3 linked regions of the Rattus norvegicus genome follow. The protein of the gene in region 3 interacts with the protein of the main gene of each other region in a pairwise test. Links are inferred from orthologs where the notes say so. Each region holds a gene or a part of one and is shown on either strand. Other genes may lie near its edges.

Region 1 (5,132 bases), on a different chromosome or scaffold from region 3:
GCCTCCTCTGTCTCCTGACAGCTGGGATTAGAGGTGTGCACTCCATACCTGGCTTAGACTGACTTTTGACCTCAGTATGCTGTTTGGCAATTTACAAATCACGTTTATTTTTCTCAGGTTACCCCTGCAAGGCAAGGATCACAAGGCTGGTTTATAGTAAAGGATGAGCAGGTGAAATATTGGCCCAGGTCCCCTGCTGTCAGCAAAGGCACCATGACAGGAGACCAGGCCCCACTGAGCACAGGGCCTATCTTACTCCCCACCATTGGGCACTGGTCCTTGTAGTCTACTCTAGGGTCACTGCTGAGGTCAATTCCTCACCTCCTTCCCCTGTTGGTCGGTCTCCTAAAGGGCACCTCAAACCCAGCAAGTCTAAATGGAGTTCTGTGGCTTCTTTAGCTACCGATTTTTATTTGTTCCTTTATGATACAAGGTCTCATGTATCCCAAAACTTGCTATGTAGCCAAGGATAACCCTGACCTGATCCTCCAGCCTCCATCTCCCAATTAGCATGATCGCAGCTTTTGCTCCACTCTGTCCAGCTCCTCCTAGTAGTTTTATTTTTTTCTTTTTTTTTCGGAGCTGGGGACCGAACCCAGGGCCTTGCGCTCCCTAGGCAAGTGCTCTACCGCTGAGCTAAATCCCCAGCCCCTTCCTCCTAGTAGTTCTAAGGAAGCCTGAGATCCTTCGACCCTTCCTGTCATCCCTCTCTAGCCAATCCCCGTACCAGCAGCCCTCCTGTCTCCTGCCCTAACCTGGGAGCTGTAGGAGCTCTGAAAGCACTGTCCCTGTCCTCACCCAGCCACACAGAGGCTTGGTCCCCTGCCAATGACACTGAATGTTAGGCTACTCTCCAACTCAGCAGCCCTGCACTGTCTACTCATCAGATGACACATGTGCTGGCTAATTTTGTGTCAACCTGACACAGGCTCAAGTCATCTGAGAGGCAAGAACCCCAGCTGGGAAAATGTCTTCATAAGATCAGGCTGGGGTTGGGGATTTAGCTCAGTGGTAGAGCGCTTGCCTAGGAAGCGCAAGGCCCTGGGTTTGGTCCCCAGCTCCGGAAAAAAAAGAACCAAAAAAAAAAAAAAAAAAAAAAAAAAAATCAGGCTGTAGCCAGTCTATAGAGCATTTTCTTTCTTTTTTTTTTCCCCCTTTTTTCCTTTCTTTTTTTTTCAGTATTTTTTATTGCATTTTTAATTTACATTTTAAATGTTATCCCATTTCTCTGTTTCCCCTCCATAAACCTGCTATCCCCCCACCCCCCCACCCTGCTTCTATGAGGGTGCTCCCTCACCTACCTACCCGCTCCCTCCCACCTCCCTGCCCTGACATTCCCCTACACTGGGGCATCAGTCTTGACAGGGTCAGGGCCTCTCCTCCCACTGATGCCTGGCAAGGCCATCCTCTGCTACAGATGTGGATGGAGCCATAGGTCCATCCCTGTGTTCTCTTGGGACGGTGGGTTAGTCCCTGGGAGCTCTGGGGTGGAGGTCTGGTTGGTTGATAGTGTGTTCTTCTTATGGGGTTGCAAACCCCATCAGCTACTTCAGTCCTTTCTCTAACTCCTCCAATAGGGACCCTGTTCTCAGTTCAATGGTTGGCTGCGAGCATCCACCTCAGTTATTTGTCAGGCTCTGGCAGAGCCTCTCAGGAGACAGCTATATCAGGCTCCTGTCAGCAAGCACTACTTGGCATCTACCATACTGTCTGGGTTTGGTGGCTGTATATGGGATGCATCCCCATGTGGGGCAGTCCCTGGATGGCCTTTCAGTTTCTGCTCCACACTTTGTCTCCATATTTCCTCCTGTGAGTATTTCTGTTCCCCCTTCTAAGGACTGAAGCATCCACACTTCTGTCTTCCTTCTTGAGCTTCACGTGGTTTGTGAATTATATCTTGGATATTCCAATACAGAGCATTTTCTTAATTAATGATTGATGGGGGAGGACCCATCCCATTGTGGGTGGTGCCGTCCCTGGGCTAGTGGCTCTGGGTTCTAGGAGAAAGCAGGCTGAGAAGCCATGGAGAGCAAAGCAGTGAGCAGCATCCCTCCAGGGGTACATCAGCTCTGGCCTCCAAGGTCCTGCCCTGTCTGAGTTTCTGATCTGACTTCCTTCCCTCAGTGATGGATTGTTACCTGGGGTATAGGCTGAAATAAACCCTTTCATCCCAAGTTGCTTTGGTCATGGTGTTTCATCACCCTCGAAGAGGCCCTTCCAAAATGGTGTATAGCAGGTCTTCCCCTGATCCTAAGGCTCTTCAGTCTCAACACGGCTCCCCTTTGTCACCTCACGACCCTACTCTTGCTGGGGTTACACCAGAAGTCCCTCTCTGCTTCTCTCAGCCTACCTATCTGGTCCCTTCTTCCCAGATTAGCCCAAGCCCCACACCAGAGCTCTGTGCCAGATCTCCTCCCTCCTCTGGAGCCTCAGGAGAGCCAACAGGGACTCTGCCATGACCATCCGGACTAAGAAAACAGGACAGATCCAGAAAGCAGTGTGGGCAGCCAGGACAACCCAAGACTGATCAAAGGACAAAGGAAACTTTAGTTCTGTGTCCCTGTTCATGAACAGACTTGGCAATGCTTGTCTAGGACTAGAGCCAGTGTCTTGAAGGCGTCAAGGTTGCAGTTTCTGGTGATTTGACTCTTTCCCCTAGACTGTGGTTATCAATCCCAAGGCAGCGGTGTCTGAGGTACCCTGTGTTCTTTGCCAACACCGTCTGATTTAGCTTGCTGCTGACCTTGGCCATCTCCCTGTAAATTGTATGTACGACGCTGTACTTCTGAACAAGCTCATTTCGCGGCAGTCATCCACTGTGTGAGACCTCTTGGTCCCAGATACTGTGTCCATCTTCTTCAGTCCCTAATCCCTGGTGCTCTCACGCAACACCTTGCTCTTCTGGACACTCATTCCTGCAGGTTCCAGTCAAAGCAGTCCACCCCTGTAGGAATCCCCTCTCCCATGGAGTTCCCAGGCCCACTCTTCCTACCTCAGAGCCAGCAAGCACCCAGCTATTATCTGAGTCCGGGCAGGAGGCCATAGTTGTGGAGGTCCAGTGCAGCTAGAGTGGCCGCCTGCAGAGAAAAAAGCTCTCTTAAGAATGGAGTTCCTGGGCATGGAGGCCTACACTTTTCATCCCAGTGGCTCTTTGAGTGTGATGCCAGAGTAAGTTCCGGATAGTCAGGGTAATGCAGATGAATTTTGTTTCAAAGACGCAACCAAAAAAGAAGAAAGAGGAAGGAAGAAGGAAGAAAAAGAAGAAAGAAGAGGAGGAGGAAAAGGAGGAGGGGAGGATAAAGAGGAGGAAGAGGGAGAGGAGGAGGAAGGGGGAGGAGGAGGAAGAGGGGAAGGAGGAAAAAGAGGGAGGAGGGGGAGGAAGAGGAGCAAGAGGGGGGAGGAGGAAGAGGGGGATGAGGAAGAAGAGGAAGAGGGAGGAGGAGGGGAGGGGGAGAGGGAGGGGGAGGGGAGCTTCCTTCAGGAGAGGCAGACAGCGGCAGCAGGATTCCAGGCATCAAAAGATGTGCAATCTCCTCAGAAACCCAGGCTGGTCCCAGTCCTTCTGCCCTGCACCCCACAGCTTTCCTGGCCGTGTTCACCTTAACAAAAGTCACAGAGAAGCTACCTCATTCAAGGATCCATAGGGCCTTGGGAAACTGCACTGGCCTTAAAAATTCAAAGAAGACAAGGGTTGAAAAGTCCAGCCCCTGGTGTTCTGGCCAGGAAGGAGGAATCTCACAGGCTGACTGAATAAAGAGAGACCTGGGTCCTCCATAGTCCCCAGTGTCCTCCCACAGAGCCCAAAGAGAAGCCTACCAACCTCCTTAAGGCCTAAGTGTCCCAGTACCCATCCACCATCAGTCCTCCATGCACTTGGTTCAGTGCAGCACTTTCTCAATCTGTGAGTCGACACCCCACAGGGCTTACATGTCAGATGTCCTGCATATCAGACATTTACATTAGGATTCATGACAGTAGCAGTGTCACAGTTATGAAGTAGCAATGAAATAATTTTATAGTTGGTGGTCACCACAAGGGACTGTATTAAAGGGTCACAGTGTTAGGAAGGTTGGGAACCACTGGTTTTGGGGTTCTCAGCACTAGCTGTGCAGGGCTCGGCTAGGATCGCCACTGAAGTGAGCAGGATCAGGTCAGGCAGGAAGCCTTCTAACACTGCAGGGCCCAGTGGTCCACCTGGGTCTCTCTCAACCTTAAAGTCTAGAGAGTTTGATCTCAGGGATCTTAAAAGTAATTGGGGAGAAGGGGAGGGGTGGCAATTACCATCAATAAATCACATTAAAGTCTGCAAAATGGGAGGGGGCAAAACTGGGTCTCTGATCTTGTCCCTTGCTAATCATCTTGGAGGGCAGCTGGGGTTAAGGTATCGCCCCCCACTTCCAAAGACCAGCGTGAAGCAAGGCTGTGCTAGGGAAGTGCAACTGGGATCAAGCAAGAGGATGGAGTGACAGACAGCTGACCCACAGAGTCCTGGACTGTGATTCAGACACAGGTATGTGACTGCTTCCCCAGTGGCATAATGTAGAATTTGACTGTACCAGTCAAAGGCTCCCCATCTACTCCAGCTGGGTTTAAGTCCTGTTTGATTACCTTAAAAAATCCTGTGGCTCTTGTTGGTCAAGATTCAAGCCCAAGATAGGTAAAGGACATCTAGTGGCATCTTCCTCAATGCTCATGTCTCCTAGACACCGGCACCCATCCCACACAGGGACAGAACAATTGCAATGACTTCCCTATACCAAGTCCCAAAAAAAAAAAACGAGCTCCCCACACTCCTTCTTCTAGTGACACCCACACAGCCATCTTCCTTCAGCTTTCTGCTCTCACCCCTCCACTGTCCTGCTATCCCCAGTTGCTATGTGTGACTGTTAACAGGTGGCAGCAGGAAGGAAGTGGCCACAGCCGCTTGAGCAGAAGTCCCTGTTTATCCCTGGCTGTTTACAGCCTGCTCAGGTCCTCCAGAACTAAGCCCCATGGCAACCAGGGTGATGTCAGACCCACTGTCTCCATGGAAACCGGCAATGGTATGGTATTTGGGTCAACAAGACAAACCTAAAACCTAAGAAGACTTCCTAGAAGCACTGCTCTAGGGGTCCCAAACCTTGATACCAAAA
Region 2 (5,181 bases), on a different chromosome or scaffold from region 3:
CCCCAGTCTGTTACTCAGACAGCTTTCTTCCGAGTTCTGACTCCGCCTCCCGTTTTCACTTCCTTCTTTGTGTTTCGCCATCAGTCCAACGTCTTCAACCCTACAATCTTCTGTTCTTGACTAATGGGATTTTTCCACCACAACACAGCACAGCTCCCCAGCAGCTCCCAGACCCCCTGTCCACAGTGCAGCTCCTCTGTGGACAGGACTATGATATACTACATAACTCATAGCGAGGGAGCCACGCGTGCTGGTCGTTATCTGACCTTCCCAACCCCAAACAGTCTCTTGGATTTCAGAACAACCTCTATTTCAGTCACTGAAAAGCTGTTCCGGCCCACGCCCAGAAAGTAAGAAGGGGGCTAAGAATCATCCATTATATATTATCTTGATATTCTCACACAAAATCCTTGATAAACGTCATCTAAGACGACACAGATGGTATGTAAGATCCCAATATTTGAGGCAGAGGCAAATCAGGTGGAGCGCTTTTGAGTTTGAGGCCATCCTGGTCTGTAGAGCAAGTTCTAGGCCAACAAGGCAGGGTTGCATAATAAGAGTGCCTCAGGGCTGGAGAGGTGGCTCAGTGGTTAAGAGCACCAACTGCTCTCCCAGAGGTCCTGAGTTCAAATCCCAGCAACCACATGGTGGCTCACAACCATCTGCAATGAGATCTGATTCCCTCTTCTGGTATGTTTGTACTTATATATAATAAATAAATCTTTTAAAGAAATTATGTCTCAAAAAAAAAAAAAAAAGAGAGGGGGGTTGTTGGTCTCTCCTCCAACAAACCCAGGTGCAGGGTATAAGGAAGAAATTCACCACACTGGATGGTTTTAAAGACATCAACTCGGGGTTGGGGATTTAGCTCAGTGGTAGAGTGCTTGCCTAGCAAGCGCAAGGCCCTGGGTTCAGTCCCCAGCTCCGAAAAAAAAAAAAAAAAAAAGGAAAGACTCTACAATAAAAGTCACACACACACACAAACATACAAACACACACACACACACACACGCCTGTAGAACTTAAGATATATACTCATGAAGGTGGCTTGAATTCTCTATTTCCAAAAACAAAACAATGAGATAATCTTTCAGTGATCAGGGCAGAGCACCAAACATCCCCCCCAAAACCTCCCCCCCCACTGCCCCAAATGCCACCACCCAGTGGTCCTCAGTGAGCTGCTTACCAGCCAGACAGGGGCCCAAGTCCCAGGAATGTCCAGGGCAGTGCCTAGGGTCGAGTGAGGCCATCACAAACTGTCCACTTACTTAAAATGAACCCGTCAAGGGGCTACACGTGGCTCAGCAGTTGAGAGCACTTTTGCTCTTGGAGAGGACCTAGGTTTGGTTCCCAGCACCCACGTGGTGGCAAGCTCTGTCTCTAACTCCAGTACCAGGGGATCTGATGCCTTCTTCCCGCCTCCCATAGCATGGGGTACATATGCTGGCAAAACACTCATATTTGACTAAATCTTTAAAAGAAAAAAGTATTTTGTCTTTTGCTGTCGATTTCCTTCTTTCCAGGTGTGAGCCTCATAGCTGACATCACTGTGTTGTGACGAGTAAGGTTCGCACCTGCCTGGCACGATACAGTTAAGTTTGAATACAACTTGGAAATGTGAATTCCACCCAAGGAATCTGTTTGGCATGGGAACATGTCGAAACCTGGGAGTCCCTGGGAGGGGTGGAGGGAGATGACTGCTGGGTAGCGACACAGAGATCCCATTTCCGGACCACTCTCTGTGTTTATGCTAAGGCACCCCTGCTCTCTCACCTTCAACTCTTCTGGGCAGTAGGAATCTTGTTCTCAGCGTCCAGTTCTTCTACTCCAGCCTGGGTCATGAGGTCAGCGATATTTTTCTCCAGGTCATCGATTCGGCTGCTCATGTCATCGAGTGGTGCAGTTAAAGAGCCCACCCACCAGACCAGCAACACCTCACCTCTGTCTCTCCCCTCCAGGTCCCTGCAGACTGGTTTAAGCAGCTGCTTTCCCAGTTTCATCCGGCTACAGTGACAGCCCGGCAGTCAGGGGTCCAGGGGACTGGGCTGAGTTCTCTACCCTATGCCTCAGTTTCTTCAACCCTTAATCCCAGAGGACCCCGTTTCCTGTTGGTAAGGTTACAAAGAGAATTGGAGGGTGGAGGGCTCCATGAGCACTCCCAGCCAATGGTTACCAAGTAAACCCCTTTACTGGTGTTCTGGAGGGCCCCCAACAGGGGCTTGGGTAGTCAGCTGTGTCTCTGGATCTTGACACGGTTCTCCATGGGGACACAACATAGCCAAGATCAGTAAAGACATTTCTAAGTGGGGCTGGAGAAATGGCTCAGTGGTTAGGAACACTCGAGGCTCTTTCAGGGGACTTCCCAGTATGCACATTGGGCAGCTCACAACCGCCTGTTACTCCAGTTCCAGGGGATCCAACGCCTCTGGTCTCAGTCACTCCCAGTACCCCCTTATACATATAATTAAAAATAATGAACTCTCTGGAAAAAGGCAATTTCTAGATGACTAATTATAGTCTGTTTGTAAACCACCCGCTCATCCCCACAGTTAAGAAACTGCCTCCAAGTCAAAAGGATATTCCTTCCGATGATCTGATCCGACATAATCTGAAACTTGTCTTGCATCTGCTGCAAGAGCGTCTCCACCTGAGAGAAAAACCAGAACAAGTCAGCCGTTTCCAGCCTATTCAGAGATCCCCTTCCTGGGACGTGAGTGGGGAGGCGAGGGCGCGGGCTATGGGGGCTCCCGGCTGGTGTGCGAGGCCTTCCGCAAGGGCCTGCCCGGTCGGTTCCGTGTCCCTGCGGGTCAGGTCGGGAGGGTCCGGGCCAGGGCCGAGGGGAGGGCGAGCCTCGCAGGTGTGCGGGCCGAGGCCGCTGGCCACACCCCAGGCCAGGGCGGAAAGCAGACCCGGAGTATCCGGGCCCATGTGAGGATGCGGCTTACCACCAAGGTGATGTCCTGCATTGTCTTGGGGTCCGTCTCGGCCATCTCTCCGGTGCCCAGCTTGGCGGCGATGTCTCGGAACCGTCACCTAGACTTCGGTTTCTTGGCGCAGACGCCCACAAGCCGACAGTTCTCGCGACAACAGTCACGGGGGTCGCGAGGCATTATGGGTGTTGTAGTTTCCGTCACGCATCGGAAGGTCCTAGGAGGCTTCAGAGCGTCCTGTCTGCGGATAAGCTACGCCCACCCAGTTCTTAGCTCCGCCTCCATCCCCTGCCCAGCTCCACCCTGCAGGCTGCACGGAGCGGAAGAGAAGGAAAAACACCGGAAATGGGCCAAAGTTATAGGGATTAGCGTTGGCCTCTTCCCTGGATGTTGTCAGACACCCAGGCCTTGCAAGACGAATCAGCGGGTGAAGAAGCGTCTGACACCAAGTCTGACAACTGTGAGTTCGATCCCTGTGACCCGCATGTTGGAAGAAGAAACTCAACTTTCACAAATTGATCTCTGCCCTGCGCATTGCTGTCACATGCATGCACACACTACACAGACACACAGACACACAGACACACAGACACACACACACACACAAAATAAGTAATTGTACTATTACTACTAAAAAACATTAGGTGGCTGGAGAGATGGCTCAGTGGTTAAGAGAATTCACTGCTCTTCCAGAGGTCCTGGGTTCATTTCCCAGCACCCACATGGTGCCTCAAAACTGCAACTCCAGTTCTAGGAGACCGACAACCTCACACAGACAGTCGTGCAGGCAAAACATTAATGTACATAAAATGAAAATAAATAAATTATAAGAACGGAACAACCCCCAGACCCGGAACATTAAAGTTTGAGGGTACACTGGCAGGATGCCCCTTTTCACCAAGAACCCAGTTTTATATTCTAGAAGACATGGGCCAGGAGGATTCTGAATTGAGTTCAAGGCCTGCCTGGGTAAACCTAGCGAGACCCTGTTTCTCAGAACCAAAACAAAAACCTAACGAGCTAAAGGAGGAGGTAATGAAATGTACCCAGGGGCTAAACACATGCCCTGCATAAAAAGTCCAGCACCAAATAAACAAAACAAGCTCAGATAATCTCCCTGCCACCTGGATGGGGCGCAGCACAGCAGACCCAGCTTTGCGAGTGTTTTAGTGGGATGTAAGTACAGTCTGACCTGGCTTCTTTCTCTCAATGATATGACTGCCTGGTGCTAAGCTTGCAGGTTTCCATTTGTGTAGAAGAGGGGGCCGTGTCAGCAAACAGTGAACTGGGAGGCTTATGCCACAGGTGCGGACCTGAGTTGACAGGGCGCTGATGTTCAGATAGTACTTTCCAGGTTCCTTAGATGCGCTGAGTCATTTTTAGTGACATATGCCACTCACAGTGAAGGAAGCTGGGATAGAATACTGTGGTAATTTGAATAAAAATGGCCGCCATAGGCCCATAGGGACCGGAACTTCTATTAGGAGGTGTGGCCTTGTTGGAGTGGGTGTGGCTTCGTGGAAGGAGGTGTGTAACTAGTGGGCGGACTTTGAGGTCTCAGAAGTTCAAGGCTGGCCACTGTGTCGCTGTCATGTCCTGCTGCGTGGGGATCTGGATGTAGAACTCTCAGCTCTTTCTCCAGCACCATGTCTGCCTGCACGCTGCCTACCATGATGATAACGGACTAATCCTCTGAACTGTAAGCCAGTCCCAGTTAAATATTTTCCTTTATAAGAGTTGTTGTGGTTATGGTGTCTCTTCACAGCAATGAACAGAACAAAGGTGTTCTTTACACAAATGGACTGGGGAGGGAGGGATGTGTCTGAGTCTAGCAAACTAGTGAAGGCACTCGCTAGGATATAAGGTTGTCCCTCTCTACCTTGGGGCTGTTACTGGGAGTTGAGCAGCTTAAGGAAGGTTCTAGACAGGACGGGAGGAGTGGCTGATTCCCTCTGCAGAGCCAACACAACAGAGTTCTCCATGTTCCTACCTTACAGTGAATTGTACAGACACATGGATGGCTACAGGCGGGGAAACAGTTTACCAAAGGAGAGAAACAGAGAACTCCAGAGTCCACCAGACCCAGGCTGAGGCCCAGCTCCAAAAGGGACCAGGTCTGTGACCTTCCCTAAGTTATTTACTTACTGTGTGTTCTTCTGAAGTCTGCTCCCTAAAGGTAGCGGCATCTGGGAAAGTTTCCAGAATTCTGCTTCCTGTTGAGTGAGGACCCTACCTTCCAGTCCCACAGATG
Region 3 (4,596 bases):
ATTATGTGATATATATTCCCAAGTATCTATACTTATAACCTAAACTTAACACTATCAATAACAGATTGTTCCCTGGGATGCAAATGTATTTCTATGAAACATGATAGGTGGATACGCCAGGAAAGTAGCAAAACATGTCAACTGCTCAACTGATGGAAGTGAATTACTTTTCTAGGTATCTGCCAGCCACCCTACTGTCCCCCATTTATTAAACCATTATATTTTAAATGGGTATGCTGATTCTAAGTTTCTAGAAAGCAGTGCTCAGAGATTGCTTGGAGATAACAAGGTTGTCTGCTCATGTACATTTTGTGTTGAAGAGTGCTTATCAGTGGTAATAAAGTCAGCAGAGTGGCCAAAACACTCAATACTAGAGTCGGTGGCGATTTTAAATAATGGTCCTCCTGACACTGCACAGCACTGCGCAGTCACCCGAGCACAGGGACGCCCTGCCCTAGCTTAAGTGCGAAGTGCAGATTCATACAGCACACAATACCACAGCACTCGGCTTCTGTGCCAATCTGAACACTAGAATAAGCTGGCTTCTGTCACCCTCACTCGGCATTGGCACAACTGTCACAAGGAGTTTCTTCCACAGATGCCATTAGTTCATGTCAATATATCTATGCTAAGATGTAGACAAATTAATATTTTAAAAATCTGCAGTCCCATCAGAGCACAGTGGCACTCTCCTTTAACTCCAGTACTCGAGAGGCAGATGCCAGTGGATCTCTGAGTTCAAGGCCAGCCTGGTCTACAGAGCAAGTTCCAGCACAGCCAGGGCTACACAGTGAGAAATCCTGTCTCACAAAACAAACCAAAACAAAAAACCTGTAGTACTGAGAATATGAATCTAAGTTATGTTTGTATATTGAATTTTTCTAACAAAATGTATATGTAAGCCAAATCTTAAAAAAGAAAACAGAATTCTGTAGCAATAAAACAAACACAAATTCTTTAGGTTCTTATGCTAGGTAATATTGTTAAGTGTTACAAAGGAGAGTGAAAATACGTGAGTGTAAATATTCATCTGCAAACAGTTAACACAGAAGTCTGAGACATCATCACCCATGAACATAAGAGAGATAGATCCAGGTGCATTTCTAAACGTCTATGCGTGGCTCGTCCAAGCTCCGCAGAGCGAGTGAGAGCTCCGTCGGGTCTAGCAGTCGTCAGCTTCCAGCTGCTACTCTGTGCCTGGCAGGGTTTAATTACACGCCGGCATGCGTTCCTATGTGAACGGTCCATTAGGCATCATAATCCCTTCTCTCAACTGCCCTTCATTTCAGTCTCCAATTGATCTCAATCTGTACAACTGGATATTCTATGGCAAACGAAGACAGCATCTGAGTCATGAGAGTAAAGTTGTATGAATCAGAATGCACAGCTCAGGGCTGTGACTCACAGTTCAGAAGGAGTGATAAATGGGTGGTTTTGTTATTGTGTTGTGTTGAGGCAAAGATTTCTTGTAGATTGACCTCTAATTCACTATCTAGCCAGGGATGACCTTGAACTCCTGATTCTCCCGCACTCACCTCCCTCGGGCCAGGGCTATGCATGCATGTATATCAAACGTGCATAGCTGACTTGACTCATAACCATGAAAATCTTCATAAAGCAGTATTTAGTTCCTTCAAAGTATTCTATCTACTACATATATAAACATACGCACTGGCTTTTTGAGAATGGGTTTCTTTTCATAGCCTTGGCTGTCCTTGAACTTACTCAGCCCAGGCTGGCCTTAAACTAACAGAGATCCACCTGCCTCTGCCTCCCAAGTGCTAGGACTGCACCACCTGGCTCCAAAATACTTTATCTAAAACTACACTAGGTAATGTCGCCGAAGAAAACAAGAGGAGCCAATCTGAATGTTAACATGCCTTAGGTGTGTTTTTATTAGGCTGATCAGCACAACTGGATAAATCAGGAAGGCCACAGGAACTTCCAGATAGTCTAAACAAACTAATTTACAACTTAAAACTGTCAGACATACAAAAGATGATTCTGAATCTGCAAAGCCAATTAAGAAGTTCAGGTATGATTAACAGTAATAGGTATTTTGAGATCTGCAGGGGTCCGGTTCCAGACCCCAATACTGAAATCTGCTAGAATCTCCTATCTGAAGTGGCCTTGGTCTGAGTTTAGCTTACTCTAGATTACTTATGGTGTCTATGACAGTGGAAACAGTTGCACTGTTTAAGGACTAATGACGGAGTTCACGTTTGTTTACTAGAGATGCAAACTCTTTTTTTCTGAAATACTCTCAAGGTTGCCTAGGTGAATCCCGAGATGGGGAATCAGGCGCAGAAGAACAACTACCAGGGCCGGAGGGTTCTTCTGAGGAGTCACAATGTGTGAGTACATCCAGGTACAAACGGAAAATGTACCTACACAGGGTGACGACTTTGCTGATACTGTTCTAGTGGCTCACCACTTTGGTGGTTAATTTGTTTCATATTTTAGTACCTCACTGAGATGTATATACAATGGAGACTTTAAAATAAATAGTAAAAAACTTAAATGTACTGAAGCATAAAAAATATATGGCATAAAAGCTGACTATTTAGTGACTCTTATCATGATGTAGAATGCAGATTCAAACAAGTCAACCTCAAAATCTACATGTTTTTCAGTTCATTGAAATATATAGACTTTGGGTCTTGTTAATTTTGGTCTGATGTGTGTGTGTGTGTGTGTGTGTGTGTGTGTGTGTGTGTGTGTGCACTTTGTAGCTTAAAGTTTCATGATTTGACTACAACATTTTACATGTCTTTAGTGTCGGCTCCTGTTCAACCTTGATGTCCTGCAGTCTTGTAACTCGGATGCTTACCTGCAGTTGCTCAGCAGTGGTTTCAGAATGTGATCCATTTGTGACAGCAGTGACACTTAAAGGAGACATGTCAACTGTGACATCCTCTAGGCCTGGGATAGATGACAGCTGAGAAACGTGAATTAGTGTTGGCATATGCAAACAAAACTTTTGAACTGTGGATTCTTAGCTCCCTTAAATCTACAAAACTGTATAGGTTCAGAACGTTCATCCTACTTCCCATGCCGTATGTTAAAAGTGAAAAACATTCACTGTTCTTTGGGAGAGCCCCCCCCACCAAAGTTTAATTTATTTGATAACTCGTCTTTCCCTACAAAGTATTGCTCAGCCTACAGACTCCAGAGGATTGAAAACATGGGCTTTGGATTCTGACTGCCGAAGGGTACTAAAGTGCTAATATGTGGGTCACAGGCTCACCTTCCCACTTTTGTTACCTGTATAGGGGATGAGAACATTTTCCTTATAAAACTATTCTGAATATTTTTATTAAAAACACCTTGCTAATGAAAAGTACTCTGTGGCACACCATTCTCTTGCATGTGTGTCTGTGTGTGTAGCTCCTTGTTGGCTGCGTTTGCTGGGTCCTCCCTTCTCCAGTCTGAACTCAGTCTCTCAGGTACTTCACCAACTGAGTCACCTCCCTAGCCAATTTTAAGCTTTAATTGTACGAGAAGTGTCTTTACATTTTAACATATGATATAACTTGTTTTTCTCTCTTTAAACATTTATCCTTGAATATTACCTAAATATGTTCTCTTCATACACAACAAATGGACATATTGTCAACATTTCGGACTTAAATGGTAAACATTCAAAACAAAAAAGATAAGCATTTGGGTTAGTGTTATAAAAACTCTCCCTGCTTTTGTCCTGGTGCTACACGACACGTGTTTGTCAGCTGTTTGGCTGACTGTGGACACTGTACTATGGCCAGGGAAATGCTAAGGTTAGCTGGCCCACACAGAAACATTAACTTGTGTCCTTGGATGGCAGCACCTTAACATTCCCAACTGTTAAATAAGGTTCAGTCATGAGAAAGGGCATAAGAAAGAACTCCCCGATGATAGGATCTCGGGCAGCAAAAGTCATTGTGAAGTGCTGACTGACGACAGTGCTTAGCAAAGTGGCAGTGGCCCCAAAGTCACAAGTGGGTATAGTTGTGACTGACACAATGTCCCCAGCATGTTCAAGGCCAGGTGCTCTAAATTTCTATGCCAGAGAAATGTGATAAGGCAACAGACATACTTGCTGAAGTCCAGAGAGGGCAGAGAAAGTATACATACCTACCTTCACTTCCTTAGTGTAATGTGAGCATAAAAATTTCCACTCAAATATTCAGTAAATATTTTGATCAATTAGAAAACATGGCCACTGTACACTTTTATGGGGTTTCAGGGAAGGGAGGATAACAATTACAAAAATACTGTAGGATTAAACCCTCTACCTCACGAACAGGAAGAGCATGCATAGCATTACAAATTAAACCCAGCTAAAACTGAAAGTGCCCGTTAGTTATCAAAATCTCTAAGCTTTAAACACAAGTTATTTCCCCAAGTAACCTGGGACCTTCGGCTTGTTGCTTTGTTTTGTTTTTTCTTTCTTTCTTTTTTTAAAAAGAGACAGTCTCCCTCTCTGGATGGGTCAGGAGTCAGTCTCCCTCTCTGGATAGATCAGGCTGCCAGCAAGCTCATTATCCTCCTGCTTCAGCCTCCTGAGTACTAGGATTACCATCATGAACAAATGTACCCAGCTTCTCTGTAATTTGT

Evidence for each region. The genes of interacting proteins can lie anywhere in the genome.
Region 1: the proteins of Washc3 (region 3) and Pbxip1 interact in binary tests that used the Homo sapiens proteins (3 or more experiments, as listed by UniProt). The two-hybrid records come from large-scale screens. The link is inferred for Rattus norvegicus from reciprocal best matches to the Homo sapiens genes WASHC3 and PBXIP1.
Region 2: the proteins of Washc3 (region 3) and Hsbp1 interact in binary tests that used the Homo sapiens proteins (3 or more experiments, as listed by UniProt). The two-hybrid records come from large-scale screens. The link is inferred for Rattus norvegicus from reciprocal best matches to the Homo sapiens genes WASHC3 and HSBP1.

Annotation. Positions count from the first base shown.
Region 1 is NC_086020.1:177,154,672-177,159,803, reverse strand, and holds the start of Pbxip1 (pre-B-cell leukemia transcription factor-interacting protein 1), read right to left. Parts: upstream 3,079-5,132; 5' UTR 3,044-3,078; coding exon 2,993-3,043; intron 1-2,992. UniProt on the Homo sapiens protein: Regulator of pre-B-cell leukemia transcription factors (BPXs) function. Inhibits the binding of PBX1-HOX complex to DNA and blocks the transcriptional activity of E2A-PBX1.
Region 2 is NC_086037.1:64,307,600-64,312,780, reverse strand, and holds the start of Hsbp1 (heat shock factor-binding protein 1), read right to left. Parts: upstream 3,079-5,181; 5' UTR 2,991-3,078; coding exon 2,946-2,990; intron 2,648-2,945; coding exon 2,581-2,647; intron 1,895-2,580; coding exon 1,776-1,894; 3' UTR 1,774-1,775; intron 1-1,773. UniProt on the Homo sapiens protein: Negative regulator of the heat shock response. Negatively affects HSF1 DNA-binding activity. May have a role in the suppression of the activation of the stress response during the aging process.
Region 3 is NC_086025.1:24,521,596-24,526,191, reverse strand, and holds part of Washc3 (WASH complex subunit 3), read right to left. Parts: intron 2,939-4,596; coding exon 2,831-2,938; intron 1-2,830. UniProt on the Homo sapiens protein: Acts as a component of the WASH core complex that functions as a nucleation-promoting factor (NPF) at the surface of endosomes, where it recruits and activates the Arp2/3 complex to induce actin polymerization, playing a key role in the fission of tubules that serve as transport intermediates during endosome sorting.